Drosophila melanogaster: one gene and its partner. The protein of the gene in region 2 interacts with the protein of the main gene of each other region in a pairwise test. Each region holds a gene or a part of one and is shown on either strand. Other genes may lie near its edges.

Region 1 (6,261 bases), 3.5 Mb from region 2:
ATTTTAATGCCGTAAACAAATTATTCACTGCCCCCGAACGATCAAGTGTCATAATTTCTTTTCGCCACCTCAGTGAAACGGGCTGTGTGTGAATTTGTGCGAAAGTTTTTCACGGTCCCTAACAATGCTTTATGGTTTATCGCAATTTTATTGCTATTTTCCAGCCAGCTCATAATAGTTCAAGTATTAGCTACAAATTTGAAAACTATAATAGAAGAAACTGCTGTTCCAATTTGTCCAAACATTTTAGATAAATAATGTACTAACCTATTGTTTCAAATAAACGCGCTAAGTGAGTTATACTACCTTAAGTCCCGTGAACGTCTTATTCAAAATATTATTTATGGGAAGTAGATGAATGTGTATCTATTCACACAATCTAAATTGGACCTCGCCTTTTGAGAACTTCATTGAACTGTCCGCAGACCATCGATTCGTCACTTCTTCGCTTTATTTCGTGTTCCTCGCCTAATGATCAAATGGTCTAATAGTTTATTTCATTACTGGGGCTCTGGAACAGGGACTGGCTTCTATCAACCTGTCTGGCTTTTTGGCCACTCACTAACCTCCAAACGTTTAATTAATGATCTGTTGTTTCTGTTTCGGGCGCTTCTTTTACGCCCATCTGCCACCGCACTCCCAAAAACAAAAACAAAAACAAAAAGAAAAGTAAAAAATCTGTATCCAACCGACCGACCATCGACTTCTATTTAAAATTAAATTAACCTGCTTAATTTGCCCCCACCCCTCGTTACTCCTCCTCTGCGATGGACGCGCCCAAAACATTCACTCCAAAACGAGGGGCGAAAAAAAAAATCGAAAGGCGCTACTAATCGCCCCAATGCCTATGGATTCAATGTATGTATCTGCATCTGACGGATACATGCGGCCGATTTCCGTGCATTTAACGCATAAACGCTTTTTGGACACTTTTATTCCATTCGGGGATTATCATTATCGCCGCTGCTACCCTTTCGCCCTTCACCATTTCGATTCGATTTTGATCGCTCAATTAGCGTAAAAGTAACATGTCAAACCTATTAATCACTTTCGAAAATAAAGCACAACACTCTTCTTGAGCTAAGGAAACAATCGAATTTATAGAAAATACATTCCATGCCCGCTCGGTGGGCCAATAGTGCGTGAATCTAGGCGTAGCCAAAAGAGAAAAATTATATAATTTATTTTTTCTTTTGATTGCCAAATTAAAAAGTGTGTCTGTATCTGTGCGCGGACAACTCTATTTCGCTCGCAACGTCTTTTTGGCCTGGCTAAATCTTAATGCCGCCCCACGAAATCGCTGCGTCATTACTCGAACTTCAATTTCATTCATTCATCAATTACAATACAAGAAAAATACAGTTTCGAGCGGTGGAAGCCTTGAATCTTTCGAATACGTGTCTGCTGATCGCGAGGCAGCCAGATACAAAAACTAAAATTCATCTATCAACTTTTTGTTGGTGGTAAATGTTCCTCAGTTGACATTAAGTCTAATATTTGTTGATCCTGTGATGGTGCTTATTGTAATCAATTAAATTAAGCCGTAGTGGTTCATTAGAGTTTTAAAATTCATTTATGTATTATAGTTAACGTAATGGCAGGAAGGTTTCTTGGATATTGTGGTTTTATGTTCAATTTAGATATTCTAAGGTGTTTATTTATATATTGTTTTTGCCCCTTTCTGAAAAAGTATCTTACTGTCTTTTGCTCAACCTCAATCTGTCTTGTGCATATCTTTCAACTTACATGCTTGATATTTCTGATCGCTTTGGTAGCATCAATTTGCCAGCCTCTTCTAGTTTATTGTGCAGCTTTGCTCTAATTGCACAACTCGTTGTCGTGGCTGCGATGGTCGTTGTTGGTATAAAATCCGCACGGATATCCGTTGGCCGCTGGCAGGAAGAAATCACCATTTGAGCACCGTTTGGCTATTGCAGCGTATTTTTCTCTCTCGGCCTTACGGATGTTGATAACTCGACTGGCATTGGCTGCTATACAAATTTGATCTTCTGGTGGTTATAGTTGTTGCTTCAGCTGGTTTTTGTTGTTGTCGTAGTGGAGCGTAAGTCATCCTGTGATCGGGCCAAGATATAAGATATATTGCATATATCTAGCTTTGATATCCGATGGCGCGTGGGAACTTCAGTTTAGGGGATATTTTTTCGGATGGATTTAAGTTGGTATAGGATAGTCTTTAGGTAGTTTTTTTTGTATAGCAGAAAATAGCTTTGTACAACTTTATATAAATATTGTCTGGCTGCCAATATTCGTATTATCAATTAAACGTAGTCAACGGTAAAAGATGTTGATTGAATGTATTTAATAAATTATTGTATTTAAAACACTTTTAGATTTATGGTAATTAGGAGCTTTAGTTGTACGTATATACGAGGGAAGTTGCCACTTTGAGATATAGGTATATTTTACTGATCTTTTTACACTTTTTACAATCACTCGCGTTGGCCAGCTTGGTCTGATTTATGATACAAGTTGCTTAGAATTACTTTTTATTATATGTATGTATTTCTCTATTTAATACGTTTTAATTGGCGAGCTGTTCTCCCCGGAGTTGACATCGATCCCCGGCCAAGCCGCTTCGATCCAATCTCACCGCACTTCCCAGTCGTTTCAGTTTCCTCTCGACGATCGCTCAGCCCGGGCTATAATCTTTTCAATTTTATAATTTCATTATGGATTGTCTGTTTAATGTCTGCCCATAATCATCAGCCTGTACACATGTCTCGGTGGCATTTGTTGTTGATTTCCGTGCAGCTCGGCTTGGATCACTTTGCATTTACGCGCTGTCACAATTTGCATTAATTGGATCTAAGCGAGTAGTTATCATTGATTTAGCACCGATCTCTGGTATATATAGGCCATAGATATGCATCGCTCTGTGCAAGTGTTTTAATATCACATCATCCACGTACTGGGCGTAGTTCATAAAATTCCTAAGCAATTTGTGATTTCATTTGTGTGAGAGGAGCATAAATTGTACGTTTTATTCGAGATTTACAGCAAAGTTGTATCGATTTATTGTCTATAGGAGGATTCGAGTTTGGAGATAGTTTCTTTTTGTTTTTGTCTAGGATGAAATTGACACAGTTAGGAATTTGCATTTGCATATGCTTTTAATTTACACATAACATATATTTTGTATTTAGGATGTATCCTTAAGCGATCCTATCTTCACTTCACTATAAAACGGTAGCGCTTCATTTTGAATGTTTTACCGTTATCACCGATCGCATGGCGTTACGTCTTACGACCGCTTTACGTAGTGGATCTCTTCTGCTCAGCGTTACGTGCTGCTGTTTTTCCGACAAAAGCGACAACACGACCAATAGCTTTGAGACCGTCTCACGGACTGATGATAGACCCAGTCGCAGTCGCAGCTTCAGTTTTCGATTTCCTAATAACGAAAAGCTAAGAAAAGAGCAGCAGCTCAGCTCAGAAACATAACAGAAGGAAAAAACGCAAAATAGACGACGTCTTCGGCGAGTGTATGGGTGCTCTGAATGAATACACAACGATAAAAGACCGATCCCCGATCCACCAGTGATGATTCCCACTTCCACGCGAGACTCACAATCCACAGCGTCGACAGCGACGCCAACTGCATCAGCGACGCCAGCAGAGGCAGCGACCGAGGCAGAAGCAGGGGCCTAGGCAACGATGCAATAAATCGAAGCTAATACACTTCTTTCTTAATGTAGAGCGATCCAGCGAACGTGCTCACACAGATACACGAACACATGCAAAGATGCTCTGGCCTAGACGAGTTTCGAACGGTAAATGAGGGGCCGCCAGCCGAGCGATCCGCGCGATGCATCCTGCCTGGTTTTACTCAATGAAAATTCCAAAAGCGCTAGACCTGCATCCAAAAACTGGGTGGAGATCTTCCGCCCCAACGACGAACAGAGAGCCGATCTCAAGACCCGAACCCGAACCCGAACCAAAGCCGATCTCGTGGCCGCTTCACTTGGGTTCCACAAAACGCCGAGATACTGTATCTGAAAAGTGAGCGTGAAGCAGTCGCCGCTGGAAGCTCGAGCGGGCCACAAGCGGACAACATTCTAGTAACTTGGGGGGTGCACCTAAAGAAAAAGAGATTACTTCTGGGTTGAATGGGTCGAATTTTAGTTGTAGGAATGTAACTTTTGAATTAATTTTAAAGATGCATTTATTCATGAATCTACGCGTTAAAGATTAGATCAGTATTTAATTATTTTAAATAGCTGGTAGGATAATCACACTTAAAACCCAGTTGTAAATTATTATAAACTATTATACTCTTGGCAAAACTAACCAAGTAGGAAAGACAAAAATCCGATGGACATCTTTTGTGGACTGATTTCCTTCTCCTTGTCTAGAAATATCCCATCATTTCTCTGTGTGCACACTCTTTAGGGGAATGGGAAAGTTCAACGGGTTCTTTCACTGATCGCAGATTAACATACGGTCAGAGAAGGGTCTCTGGTCTTAACTTGTGTGTCCTACTTGGCACGAGACTGGAATCGGGCATTTTCAATGTCCATGTCCATGTTCAAGACCATGTCATGTGCCTTCTTCTTGGCCACTTCACACAGCTGCAACAGCAGCAGCAATTGCAACTGCAACTGCAATAGCAGCAGCAGCAGCAACTGGAACTCTTGATGTTGCTGCGGTGCCTGGCTGCTGTTGCTGTTGCACGAAATCGATCAAATCAAAAATGACTTTGTGAAGTGACTAACTGCCTAACTGCCAGCTGCCGTTGCTAGTTGCTGTTGCAAGTTGCTGATGTTGCTGCTGCCGCTGCTCCGGCCGCTGCGGCTGTCTAACAGTAGCTTGGTTGCTTTGATTTTTTGGCGCAAGTCCAAGTCCAAGTGCATGGACATACAACACTTCAAAATGAAAGCACATTCCCTTGTAGAAATTTTACCGTTACAGGTACAGCGCACCCCATGCACATCAGGTCGTTTGTCCACAGTCCGCAGTCCGCAGTCCGCACTGTCCATTTCTCCGCTGCCATCATGCTGATGATCGGCCAGGCCAACACTTGGCAGCTTTATGGCTCAGATATTTGCAAATCTCCAGGTTCCGTAGCGTCTTGAGCTGTTATTGTAGCTGTTCTCCTCTTGTTATTCTAGCTGATGATCTGCCATCATCTTCATCCCGCCAAGAGGAAGCTGCGAAGGCCGAGATACCCACTCTCCTCAACGTTCTCATCTTTCGCAGCGTCGGCCGCGTGCCATGGTCGTTGGTTATTTATTTGAGTCAATGAGTTCACAACTATTTTTCTATTTTTCCTTAATGGCCTTTCCTTTTTCCACCCGCTCCCGCTTTCCACACGATGCCCGCACAGCATTTTCCTTCGCTTGCTTTGCTGCTTTTCCGGGCAGGGAAGCGCCTTGTTGTCTTCGCTTGATTGATGGTTTGATAATATGAAGTCGGCTGGCTTGCATTTTGGGCCTCTGTGGCCAAAAAGGATTGTTATGATGGCCAGTGTGCTGCAAATGAGTTCAATTGAAGATTATCTTTTATTAATTAGCGTGGCGGAGGAATGTGGGTCAGCTATGGAATTCAGTTGGATGATTGGGGCATCCTTTGTGGAGTGATTGCAATTGGGTGGTGGAATGCGGAGGAGATTGACGGTGAAATGCCGGAACTTTGGTCTTGAGTGAGTGTTTGATTGAACCAGAAAATAGATGGGGTATGAAAGATATATGCATTATTGGATACTCAGTTCAGTTAGAATAAATTCTTGGTTAGCATTTCATGTTATTGCACGAATAATATATGTTGTATGTGAAAATGAGTGCACCACACCTTGAACCAATACCTCAATCTGATATCCCCTTGAGTTATGTAGTATTTAATTACTTAGTTTTTCTCCCATCGAAGCTCTATTCGCCATCGATGATCGCCATGCTCGGAACCTTGTCAACACAAATCATGTTCTATGGAGCGAAGAATTTCCAGATTAACTTCACCTGGGCAGGTACATAAATACCAACATAGTTATAAACACTGCATAGCTCCGATTGGAAGCAATATACATAAAGGAAATTAGCATAAGGCCGATCGATTCGCATAAGTCAGGCACGATGCCATCGAGATTGGGCCTAATTAAAATGTTCATATAAAATAATTAACCATACGCAAATACACAAGCAAAGTGCCCCTGTTAAATGGCTAAATAAACGTTTAGTTTATGGCTTATACCTTTTAACTAAACGAGACAACGACAGTTTAGCCGAATAAACAGTTTGATAAATTTAT
Region 2 (6,229 bases):
CTTCGCTTTGGGCCAATACCTTTTAAATTGGTTTGCCTGACAACGCCTCGCTCAATAAATATCTAATTTCCGCAGTATGTGTGTGCTTATACATTGTGTTCGAATTAAAGTGGGAAATGCTCATTTTATTTAGCCACCCCTTAAGAGAGGGGTCGTGGCCGAGCTTAAGCCCATCAAGCGTATGATTAGCGTCAATCAGTGAAATCGTGGACGTTTAATTAAAAATCAATCAGTTGCTGTGACATAAAACCGAATGGTTCGATAAACAGTTTATGCAGCCAACGTTTACGAAACGTACGAAAAGCTGAATTCTAGCCTGAATAAGTGAACGATTTTCTGGGGGTAGATATGTACATTGAAAATTTTGTAGTGGACATCAATCATTTTGTTGCTCGGCCTGGGCAAAGTTTCGTGTTAATCAGGAGAACACCCATCGCATGATAGATTGACTCTGTATTTTGTGTGTCTAAGGTTAGGTTCAGGTAATTAGGGGTCCGGGTTCGAAAGGATATTGTAGACGTCAAAAATTGTCCGTTATTTGACTTTCAACTTTAACTTTCTAGGCCAAGGCTTAAGTTCGGAAAATTATTTTTCCCTCTGTCTGTAATAAAATAATTTTATATGATTACAAGAAATATAAATCCTATTGAAAACATTCGACTCAGGCTTGTATTTCAAAAGGAGCTTGGCCAAAATGGTTTGGCATGCCGGTAGAAATTGACAAGACAAATAATAAAAAAAAGAGAGTCGATTTCCTCGGCTATCTGATACCCTGTACTCAGCGTTAGAGTGGGTAAGATGCACAATCTCGGAAAATTATTTTTCCCTCTGTCTGTAATAAAATAATTTTATATGATTACAAGAAATATAAATCCTATTGAAAACATTCGACTCAGGCTTGTATTTCAAAAGGAGCTTGGCCAAAATGGTTTGGCATGCCGGTAGAAATTGACAAGACAAATAATAAAAAAAAGAGAGTCGATTTCCTCGGCTATCTGATACCCTGTACTCAGCGTTAGAGTGGGTAAGATGCACAATCTCGCCGTTTCTAGAATCTGCATTCTTAATATCAATGTTCAAAAAATATAGGGTCGAAAACTCATCCTTCTAACTGATACAAACTTTTCAACGAATGTTGTATACCCTTAACTCTAAAAGTAAGCGGTATAATTAAATACATGCATACATTTTTATAGCATTAATCGTTTATGTGCAACAATTTGATTTATTAATCTCATTACATTTTATTGGAAAAAATCAGACCAAAACTCCATAAAGTCAATCAGCAAAAGTGCCGTAAGGCAACCAAATAATTTAATCGACGGCATGTTATGGATATTTTATTTCTCTGTTCATTATAATGAGTTGATTAAGAGCTAGAGTAAACTTTCCAACCTGGCTAGACTCTGGTCAAGGAAAATTAACTTCGAGTGCGAAGTGTGGGAGGATGAAATGTACGCAGTTTATGATTGCCTTCACGCCTGTCTGGTCATTAGCCTAGGCACAACTTTGCCCCGAAAAAGCACATTTGCGGTCCCCGCATCCCTTGCTTTTTGTTTTCTTTTTTTTTATTTTGCATTTTCAGTAGTCCACAAATAAAACTTTTTTTGTTTGTTTATCCATGATGAGGGTTTGACAGAGATTGCTGTGATGGGGGGGAAGTGTAGGGCCAGAGGTCCTAAAGCATAAACAGATCAATAAAACAAGGCGAAGAAGAAAAGCCGACAGGACGACAGCCACAAAACTAGCTGAGGAATTCGCCCAAAAGAGGCCAAGAAATAACAGCGTCAACTGGCGCAGTTCCCATGCAAATTTCTCCAGACCCATGTATCTGCAACACCCCCGTCAGAAGAACCCAAGAACCCCATGGAACGGTGCCCATGGAACCCAGAGGCACCACGAGGACGACACTCTCCACGCCCATTAACTGTTGCCCGTCTATTTGTTTGTACAAATAATGTGTAAGCAGGCATATTTTTGTCAACGAGGCTAATTTCTGTCACAGATTTACGTGACAATGGCCCAGGCAAGAAGCTAGAGCCCAGAAGGCGCTGGGAAAGCCAAAGAAATCCGCATCAACACGCATACTCGGAATAAAAACACAACAATTACAAAACAGGTTTCATCCAGTGGGATGGGTTGGTGGGTGGTGGGTGGTGGGTGGCTTTGGACAAGTCTGGCAGTTTTTGGTCGAAATATTTTCGTTTCTTCTGCTGTCAGTGAAGTTGGTTATTCGTCGTCGTCGTTTTGCGGCCAGTTCGTAAAAGCCATAAAAAGAAATGTACCAAGCAGCAGTAGACAAAATAAAAAAAAAGAGGAGGCCCAAAACAAAACTGAGCTGTGAAGAACCAGCGTCGAAAAAAAACTGGGTTAGCTTGCGTACTCCCCCCAACATTCCCCATATTTCCCCACCTCCGTTCCATTGTTGCTCCTCGTTGTTTCTTTTTTTTTAGCACCTATGCACCGTTTTTGCGATGCACCCTGCTCCTGTCCGTCTTGGTTATTGTTGTCCAAGAAACTCAATGTGTGACACATATGCAGTCGCCACTCCCCCTGCCACCCACCGACGCCCACTCACCCACTCTGCCACTGCCACTGCAACACTACACCTCCAGATTTTTCTGCGCGTTCCACTTTTTCTTTCCATCATCTTAAAGACCAAAGACACAGATCCAAAAAATGTAGTGGTTGAGAAAAGTTTAAAACACTTATACTTTGTCTTTTAATCCTTCCTTCGAAAAAAATCTTTGTATGAACATTTATATTTCATTTGTATATACGTAGTTTCCTATTGTTTGCTACATATAAATGGCGATAATTTTTGGGAACCAAATTTGCAACCAAACTAAAATTGATCTAAAATTGTTAAAAACCACACATGTGTTTATATATTTTATTTGCCAAATCTACAGACATTTCGACTAACTCTCAGCTGTTATTTTAGTTGTTTGTCAAACAGCTGTTAGTTTATCAATAGCTCTCAATAAAACAAACTATCATTGCAAGTGTATGGTACCCAACATTTGCTTGTTAAATTAAAACCTTAAGCAAGTCCAACCTGATCCATGAACCAATCGAAATTGCATCCAATCCCTTGGACGGCAATGTAAATAGCCCGAGACATTTTCCCGATGCCTCAGCCGATCTGTGGAAACGCCAGTGAAGCGGCAGGATGCACTGGCCTGGCCATCAGAATCGGTGATTGACGCTGATACGTTTGCCACATTTAATTGGGAGAGTGGGTGGATCGCCACCCATCATCCGTCCACCACCCATCATCCACCCCCCGTCGAGGTTGTTTATTGACTGACAAGTGCTGCACATCCGGGCTGCGTTTGCGGAAATGAGCAAATGACTAATGACTGACCAGAGCGAAGGCACCCAAGGCGACGAGTGACCCTTGCCCACTCTGTTTTCTGTTTCTCCGCTTCTGTTTCTTGTTTACTGTGCGCTTCAATTAAAGCATCTTGCAGGAAATTGAACTTTTAGTCAAGTGCCTGGTCGAGTGAGTGGCTGGGAGTTGGAGGAGGAGGAGGTGGATGAGGATGATGATGTGGGGGGGCCAAGTGAGTGGGTGGTTCTTTGAGACAGCGACGGCGACTTGCTCATCAATCTGTTACGTACTTGACTTGTGGGTGGGTTCGTAGGTCGGCGGCTGTTCAGGGCTTGAAAAGCGTATCCGTATCCAGTTGTTGCATGTGCCTAGGCTACTTTTCTCTCCTTCGTTTGCTCTTTCTGCTTTCGTGCCACTTGAGTTTTGATTACTGATCACTTCACTTTGCAATCACCGCTTGATTACTTTTGGTATCATAAGCACTGCCGGATCTCCCTCGACCGATACGATCTCTGGTTAATGCTTCGCGGCTATCAAAGCCTATCTATTTGTGGTCACCATTTCGCGATTTTATCTAGCCGGCTAGAGGTACGAAATGTTGCCGTTGCACCAGCAACATCACTATACGGGCTGCCACTTGTGGCAAAAATGATAATCGGCGATGCTCACGCGCCAAATTACCAACGTGGACTGGCACATCCGTGCCACATTATGCGCATTTTATGGCACGTTGGCGACCTCGACACTCGCTTCGTTTTTAGATCACCCGAAGGCGAGGCATGCAACACGGAAATTGTTGTCCTAGGCGCAACAGACCCAAAAACCGAAGCCCCCGAAGTCAGTTGACACGACCCATGCCGCTGGTGCGAGAGCCCCAAAGCCCGAAGACCCACGATTACCGGAGCATCTGGGCATGCGCAGTGACTGAGCCGGAATTAGTATGCTATCTGGCAATGCTCTGTCATCAGGCGGAGTATTCAAAGAAATTCTAAACTGGACAGTGACTTGATGGGGGCAAAGACGAAGATGGATGTACAATAGGTGGATGGTGGGGGTGAGGTGCGGGAGATGGGCGACCGACCGGCCAGATTCAAGTTCAGGTCGCCCTTTGACCGCAAAATTCCGGCGGCCAGCTAATAAACTCCAGAAGAAGCCAAATTTGTTGTTCGAATTTATTGTGGAACATTCTTTCCAACTAACCCACAACTAAGACTGATAAATGGCCAAGCATACTGGCAATTTGCAAGTTTCTGACCGTTTTTAGAGCACTCAGTTAACCCCAAAAGTTTTATATGCCTCATCTAGGTGCGGCCCATTTCGGTCCTCTTACCCAGCACAGCTCCTTTTGCTGTTTTTAATCTACAATATTAGCCGGTAGTGATGTTTCAATTAATTTTTAAGGTGCACCCCAAACTGCCCAAGAACCGAAGAGCATAGAGATGGTTAAAGATATAAAGATGGAGGCTTTAAGATGCAAAATGGGGGCAGAGAACTCCGGACGAAGCCAGAACCGCATGCTAAGATATGATGGCAGATGCCAAGCAGGATGAATAAATGGCTTGGATGCAAAGTTTAAATTTTTCATAGTTGGGTGGCTCGGTTTGGTTCGCTTCGTTTCGTTTCGTTTGGGTTTGCTTTTCTGGGGCTTGAGTGGCAAAGTAAAATGTTCCTCATATTTGTCTTCTTGAGGTTTTCATCGGTCAAACTACGGAGCAATTGGACTTGTAGCACTAGCAGTAGATTATTTCATTAAGGCGAAACTAAGTTATGGTTAAAAATCATATCATATACCCTTTTTAAAACTCCCAAATGAAATAAACATCAAAATAGTGGACAAACAGCAATTGAACTATTTTTGAACTATTTATTTCTTAAAAGAAATATATTTAATTTATATAATTCAATTGAAAACATTTTATTTGGCTATTTACACATTTTAACGCCCATCTCACAGAACCCAGACACGGTTTTTACGAATTCTAAATACATTTAAAAGAAGTTAAAATCGGGTAAAAAACATTTCAAACATAAAGCTCACGGTCAAGATTATTCTTCTTTCGTCGGCACTTTTCATTTTCCAGAGCACAAGCGCTAGTTCCCTCAAAGTAACATTTGCCATCATAATTGCAGGTGGGCAAGATGCATTTTCCGCACGGCTTATTGCAGTTTTCTCCCCATGCAATTCCGATTAGCATACAGGCTGTTTGATTAACAATAAGAATGATCAAAATATTTAGAAAATCTTTAGCTTACCCAGAATAACTAAGAAAAACAATTTCATAATGATAGTAGCCGATTATAACTGACTTAAACAGTCTCAAGTACATTGCATTTTATTGGTTATATTGGTTAAGGTTAAATGCGTTAAAAAAGCATTACAATCCAATTAAATTTTGTACGAGATGGTATAATACGTTTAGTACATGTTAAAAATGAATGTGCGATTGACTCTAAACTTATTTTAGTCAGAAGAAATAGCTAACCGGTAGTCCACTAAATTCATTCATTCAGCTTGAGAATTTTCGGGTTAACTAAACTCATTAAGGTAAAATATGTAAAATAATAATTATTTAATTTTCTTTGTAAGACCACAACAATTGGATTCTGCTTCATAGTAATATACGTTTTCAAAAAATGCTGCACAAAAAACATTTGTTAAGCATGCCAATTTTTCATTGTAGATATGCTTAGAGTCGATTTCGTAAAAAAAATCGGCTCAGTCACAACCTGAAAATAAAATTGAGGTATATAAGAAGTTACAATCGATTCGATAAACTTAGAAAAAATGTAATCTTATTTTTATAGCACTGAGTGCAACTATGAGGACAGCAACGGAAATACTTTAGATGGATTTGATTTAAAATTCATGAGAAAATAACTTAAATCTGTTCAGGA

Evidence for each region.
Region 1: the proteins of CG4168 (region 2) and CG10348 interact in a two-hybrid assay, tested with the Drosophila melanogaster proteins (one large-scale study listed by BioGRID).

Annotation. Positions count from the first base shown.
Region 1 is NT_033779.5:18,729,151-18,735,411, forward strand, and holds the start of CG10348 (uncharacterized protein), read right to left. Parts: upstream 3,375-6,261; 5' UTR 1,747-3,374; intron 1-1,746.
Region 2 is NT_033779.5:15,196,450-15,202,678, forward strand, and holds the start of CG4168 (uncharacterized protein), read right to left. Parts: upstream 4,011-6,229; 5' UTR 3,625-4,010; intron 1-3,624. Other genes in the region: Sfp35C (seminal fluid protein 35C), read right to left, coding at 5,258-5,313, 5,373-5,534, 5,588-5,615.